Linked DNA regions of Arabidopsis thaliana. The protein of the gene in region 1 interacts with the protein of each later gene in a pairwise test. Each region holds a gene or a part of one and is shown in the gene's direction. Other genes may lie near its edges. The genes, in order: GATA7 and ESE1.

Region 1 (3,762 bases):
TGCTATATTGGTTTCAAGTGTACATTTTTTTTTATCCGAGGGTTCAAGACTTAAAAGCTCAACCAAATTTCCGATATACAAAGAATGTGATATTTTTATGGCTATCACTTACATCGTTGCTACATTTAATTAATTTCTATTTTCTCTGAATGCAAATAACTTAAATCGAAGTTCATTTTAAATTATAAACGTAAATTTCATGAAGTAATTTTGTATTTACGCTTTTAAAAAAACTTGAATGGTTTTCATGTAAACTTAATCATCATATAAGTTACGTACAGTGTCAATGTTCATATCACATATATGACTATATGAAAGTATAGTTTACGAGATAAATACTGTGGGGAAAAAAGAAAAAAAAAGCTACACTACACAGATGAGAGATGGATGCATAGAGAACGAGATCATGAAAGTTTACTATCTTATGTTATCGAACGATAATGATTTCATGGGTATAAAATAGTCTAATTTGTACGGTTACTCCTCTGCCAACATACATCGCATTCAATAACATTCCACCTTTTACCGACTTGCATTGAGCCCATGTGGCCCATCGGGCTAATTAGGCATATAGTCAGTTTAGTGAGCCACCACCATATTGTATGTCATCAGTCTACGACTTTCTTGCGTTAATTTAATCCGAGGGGAAAAAAATTGATGTAGCAGTAGAGAATTTAAAGAGGGGTGTTCCGAGAATCGAACTCGGGACCTCTCGCACCCGAAGCGAGAATCATACCACTAGACCAAACACCCAATTGTTTGGAATGTAGTTCATTATATTTATAATAAAAATACAAGTCTATGTATTTTATTATTATTTACTATTTAGGTATGTGTGTAATTTGAATATGTTTATGCTCCATTGCTCCTGGTAAACTTTACGTGAATGTTTAGATGTTTTTTTTCTAACTTTGAAACCGACTTTTTCTAATGGAAATTATTATCTCAAAGAAAAAACAAATATATAACCATGAGCGATATTTTCACGCGCTCAACATATGATGGTCACTCTTTCCTTGAAATTAAAGAAGAAATAAATAATAGGCCCTTACTAATAACGTTTTTGTTTGTTTTGGTAAAATTGGGCCTTCCACCGACGGTCGAGTGGGCCCGAGAAGCCTGATAGTCCAATCATTACTCTCGACGTATGAATTATTGTTAATTTTTTTCTTCTTTTCTGTAAAACCTTCGAAATACTGATACAACAAAAAAAAAAAAAAATATATATATATATATATATATATATATGTGCTACTAGTTTCTTTTTTATGTTAACAAAAAAAAACCATATTTTGCAAGAAACTAGCTTTATATAGAGGGAAAGTTGTATTAACCGACGATATTTTTGGCCCAACAACACTTTCAACGGTCATGATTAATTAGGTTGAGCCATTAGATCGTTAGAATACCACTAGTTCTGAATGACTTTATTCAGTTATTTTGATAGTAAAAGAACTTAAAAAGACTTGCAAACTCTGCGCCGATGGTTAAGTCAAAAATGATAGTTCTAAATTATGAAGAAATCTTTGCTGTCTTTTAATATTATGAACTTAAAATTTGGCATTAAGAACTCTAATAAATTGAATTGACTACAAAGAGCGGTTATCTTTAAATAAAATTCTACGGATAAGTTCAGATAACATTTAAAAAAAAAAAAAAAAAACATTTTACTTACGAAGGAAACGTATTTTTGGTTTCCTTTTCAATGTGAAATGCTGACATGGCAATGCATGATTTGTTACGAGATTTGTAACGAGACAAATACCAAACAAGTCTTCCAAAATCACAAAAACCTAAAACCCACTCTTGCTTACAAACCCCAATCAGTGCTGTCCACTCTCCACTGTCTCTCTCACTCGATAGACACGTAAAGAATTTAAAATTTTGAAAAAGAAAGAATGAAATTTGTGTAAAATATATTGGAACACGAACAAACTTTTTCAAATATGGATTCGCTTCGCTCCTCCTTTATTTAAAATACTTGTAGTGCTTTCATACGGCTAGAGACAAAAATGGAGTGTGTAGAAGCATTTCTCGGTGATTTTTCCGTCGACGATCTTCTCGACCTCTCTAACGCCGACACTTCTTTAGAGTCGTCTTCGTCACAAAGAAAAGAAGACGAACAAGAACGTGAGAAATTTAAGAGCTTTTCTGACCAAAGTACCCGTCTTTCACCGCCAGAGGATCTCTTATCTTTTCCCGGCGACGCTCCGGTGAGCCCACTTACACACTCTGTTTCTATCTCCCCTGTTTTGTACACTCTGTTTCTCTCTACCCTGTTTTTGCTCTGTTTTGCTCTGTTTTTAATCTCATTTTTGTTTTGTTTGTGAAGGTTGGTGATTTGGAGGACTTAGAGTGGTTATCCAACTTCGTGGAGGATTCTTTCTCAGAATCGTATATTTCGAGTGATTTCCCGGTGAATCCAGTCGCGTCGGTGGAGGTTCGGAGACAGTGCGTTCCTGTTAAACCTAGAAGCAAACGCCGCCGCACCAACGGCCGTATCTGGTCTATGGAGTCTCCATCTCCTCTGCTATCCACCGCTGTTGCCAGAAGGAAGAAGAGAGGGAGACAGAAGGTGGATGCATCGTACGGTGGCGTAGTCCAGCAGCAGCAGCTGAGGCGGTGCTGCAGCCATTGTGGAGTCCAGAAGACGCCTCAATGGAGAATGGGTCCATTAGGTGCGAAGACACTGTGTAATGCTTGTGGGGTCCGGTTTAAGTCGGGTCGACTTTTACCCGAATATAGACCCGCTTGTAGCCCAACATTCACCAACGAGATTCACTCTAACTCTCACCGGAAAGTGTTGGAGCTACGGCTCATGAAAGTGGCGGATCCGGCTCGGGTTTAAGCCATTTTTTTCTATCTTGAAATTTTATCAATGCCATGTGCATTGTGTAATCTTGTAAACAGAGAATCAGAGAGAGATCCGTAGACTGTTTTCACATTCATGAAGTTAAGCTATAATTAGAGACAATTTTATTTGATAGAGTATGCATGATTAGAAATCATGATCATTAAAAGTTTTGTTAAATACAGTCCAACCGTTACCCAAATTTTTGTGACCACAACCATAATTAACTACTGTTACTTCCTCTTAGCTCACACTCTTTTCATTTAGAGTTTTTTTAAAAAACTGCTAATGCAAAAAAAAAAAAAGTTGTTAAAACGTTATTTTGAAATTTTGCCTTTATAACTGTTTTTTCAAAATATCGTCGTTGCCCCTTAAAGTTAAAGTAGAATTTTGTATATTTTTATTAAACCAGTATAGAAGTTGTTAACATTGAGACAAGATAAAAGATAAAATTTGACCAAAAATCAATTTAATTTTTCAATTACACAACCCTAAAAATTTACGACGTACGAGCCCCTCATTCACACTCTTATGTTAAAAAAACTGAAAATCAATCCATATCGATCTAATACTTGTGCGGCTACAAATACCAATGCATTGGTTATTTTCTAAATTATGTTATTGTATCATTGATAGTTGACACAGTGTTTATATATTTAAGAATACAAACTGGTATACTTTCTGTTTGCATACACAAATATTGGTGACTCCATTTTTTTTATTTTTTTTGTACATGTAAAATACTAAAGCAAACCCTCACATAAAGATTAGTAGTAACAATTTGGTTAAAATTATGATATCAGGTTGGTTAAAATTTGATTAAAACACAACTTTTGGATCCTTATCAAAAATTTTGGTCCGGAAGTGAAACTGTGAAAGAATTGGGAAAATCATTTATAACTAAGTAGCAA
Region 2 (3,370 bases), on another chromosome or scaffold:
TTTGGTCAAAAAGTCGAAGACTTGTGAAAGAGTTGGCACTTGACATGGAAAAAAAATCTAACTTTGATAAAAGCAGGAACAAATAAAAGACACAAAGTGGGAAAATGGCCAATCGAAGAAAAGGAAAGACAAGTGAAGCAGTGTCATGATCATTACAGTGAAAGAATCAAAGAATCATTCATGTTTTCTTTTAAGTTTTTGACACTTGGAAGTTGGAACAACAAAACGTTCGTTGGTGTTTTCAAACGCCGCCATGCATCTTCGGATTTCAAGCATCTATCTCCCGGAGATGATCTTTTCATTATATTTTATCTTTGTAATTTAAAACCTATGTTATGAAATTATTTGGTACATTTTTTTGTTTAAGTGAAATTATTTGGTACATGCTGATGTTACTTCCACAACTTTATCCAATTTCTGAATTAGATTTCTTTCGTTTTGTTTTATACTCATGAAAATACACATTTCAATACTCGAAATTATTTTAAGCATAACCCACATCCAACATGTGATGGGACCTATAGTGATATGAGATAATACACTCATTGTTAATTAATTTCAAGTTAAAAGCTATGAAACTTAATGTGGTATTAGAGACCATATTTGATCTACGTAATATTTGCATAGTGTGATCAATTCGAAATTGGACGGAAAACCATTATTTCGAGGAGAACGTGTTAGGAATTTCACATTGAAAAGATGATACGACCTAGGGTAATATATAAAGTTAACAAAAGTGAACATATTCTATTGGATGTTAAAGTTGTTCTCCTACATATTTTGAGATGAAGATGTTTTTATAAACTAATATCCTTTGTCCAATATATGGCCTTCAAGCATTGGTGGGAAACAGTTTGTTGGGCTTATTGGGTCGCTCAACATACCCAGTAACAATGTCGAATTAAGAGGCCTAAGCCCATGATTTGACATTTGTAGTTATTTTTTTGAACCTAGCTAATATACAGCTGTTCTAAAATGTTCTTTCTGCAATGTTTTGTAGTGATATAATCATGCTAAAGTACATATAATTTGATCAAATAGGTTTACAATACACACAACTCCTAAAATTTGAATTTATTTTAACTATATTTTTTAAAATATATGTTATTAAAACTGAAATAACTTGTCTATCAAAACTGTATATATATTTTATATTATCTACTATAAGTGTTATCATATTTTACATGTCTTTATATGTATTATGATTCAATTCACACACATTTCTATGTGTTTCGTGATGGTCAAATTGAAATTTAAAAGACTAGAATCTACTACACGTGCATTCAAATTTCACACGTGAGTCAATTAATTGAAGGAAAAACAAAAACAAAAGTAGTATGCTCTATCAAAATGCAGAAATATTTTATGTTATCTACTATAAGTGTATCATATTTTACATGTCTTTATAAGTATTATGATTCAATTCACACACATTTCTATGTGTTTGGCGATGGTCAAATTGAAATTTAAAAGACTAGAATCTACTACACGTGCATTTAAATTTGACACGTGAGTCAATTAATTGAAGGAAAAACAAAAACAAATAGCTTGACCCAAAAAAACAAAAGTGAGAGGCTGAGAGTATCTTTTGGTCCGTTGTCATAAAAATACTTTCATTCAACTTAGCCGTCTCCTTGACCATCCAGATACACATACGACCCTATCTTTTTGATTTTTACAATTTAGTCCCTTAATTCTTCATATATTATAATGTACACAGAGCAGCCACAATATATCCAATTTTTTAGTCGCACCAATAAATTTCATATACTATTACGATGGCATATAAATATTTTTATTTGCAATTTATCCCCCTGATTTAACTTTATTGGTAATTTAAAGGAGGCTTTTGAACAGGCACGTGCGTTAAAATAATATCCACTAGATTTCTCTAATAGAGTCACATTACTTCCACGTATAAGTTGTCATAGCTATCAACTCATGTACATGCAAAAACAAAAACCTTAAAAGCTTTCATGGAACGTATAGAGTCTTATAACACGAATGAGATGAAATACAGAGGCGTACGAAAGCGTCCATGGGGAAAATATGCGGCGGAGATTCGCGACTCAGCTAGACACGGTGCTCGTGTTTGGCTTGGGACGTTTAACACAGCGGAAGACGCGGCTCGGGCTTATGATAGAGCAGCTTTCGGCATGAGAGGCCAAAGGGCCATTCTCAATTTTCCTCACGAGTATCAAATGATGAAGGACGGTCCAAATGGCAGCCACGAGAATGCAGTGGCTTCCTCGTCGTCGGGATATAGAGGAGGAGGTGGTGGTGATGATGGGAGGGAAGTTATTGAGTTCGAGTATTTGGATGATAGTTTATTGGAGGAGCTTTTAGATTATGGTGAGAGATCTAACCAAGACAATTGTAACGACGCAAACCGCTAGATCATCACTACTTACTTACAGTGTAATGTTTTTGGAGTAAAGAGTAATAATCAATATAATATACTTTAGTTTAGGAAGTTATTCTGTTATGAGTCAATTTTCCCGGGAAAATTTAAATTACTAGTTGTCACAACTCACAAGTGTGTTGATTGGCTTCAGGGTATAAATTAAATAGACTTGGCCCAAGTTACTGCCTTACTGGCTAGAATCTGAAAAGTGTCCTACAATATATCATTGATCTAACTCGAGAATAGTTTACTTAGATTTAGATAAAAAAAAGTTCTGTTTAGTTTTCTGATTATAAATAAATTTAATTTTACCTCTTCTTTTCAATAATATTATGGAGATCCCATTGAATCTAAAAAATGATATATTTTTATTCTCCTACTTCTCTATTTTTTTTTTTTTGTCAACAAGGTCTATTGGTTTTTCTACTCAACTATTTGCTGTGGTGGTGTGGATACAAACTATATATCGCGCTCAAAGATTCTGCAGAGACAATAATGTCACTTGACCGATTCTCATACTTAAACAAATAAATTTGCAATATATCCTAGTTTTCTCATATTTTCCTAGTCAAAGGATTAATAGTCTATCTTAAAAACTTTAACTACGACAGTTGATATTAATTCTGCTTTTTTTTTCCTTAAACAAAAATTTATTATAGATGATCATCTTGATCGGATACGATAATCTCAATTTCTCACATACGACGATGTTCTAGTTGTTGGCAAAGTTGATTTTCAAGTAAAAAGATAATATATTGTTCTATTAGAATATTTCTTTTAGCACACCGATATCAATTCATCGTCCATAGATTCTCTAGGATGGTTAATTATAATGAAAATTTTCTCGTCTGACTTCTCTTCTACAAACTGAGGAATTTTACAATGTTCAAGAAGGAGTTATAGCAATGAGGCTAATCACACAAACAGAACTTATTAGTTATTTCGCCTACAATAACAACACTTTAA

The links.
Region 2: the proteins of GATA7 (region 1) and ESE1 interact in a two-hybrid assay, tested with the Arabidopsis thaliana proteins (one large-scale study listed by BioGRID).

Annotation. Positions count from the first base shown.
Region 1 is NC_003075.7:17,146,462-17,150,223, reverse strand, and holds GATA7 (GATA transcription factor 7), read left to right. Parts: upstream 1-1,727; 5' UTR 1,728-2,012; coding exon 2,013-2,213; intron 2,214-2,332; coding exon 2,333-2,848; 3' UTR 2,849-3,084; downstream 3,085-3,762. UniProt on the Arabidopsis thaliana protein: Transcriptional activator that specifically binds 5'-GATA-3' or 5'-GAT-3' motifs within gene promoters. May be involved in the regulation of some light-responsive genes.
Region 2 is NC_003074.8:8,285,993-8,289,362, forward strand, and holds ESE1 (Integrase-type DNA-binding superfamily protein), read left to right. Parts: upstream 1-1,949; 5' UTR 1,950-1,976; coding exon 1,977-2,396; 3' UTR 2,397-2,610; downstream 2,611-3,370.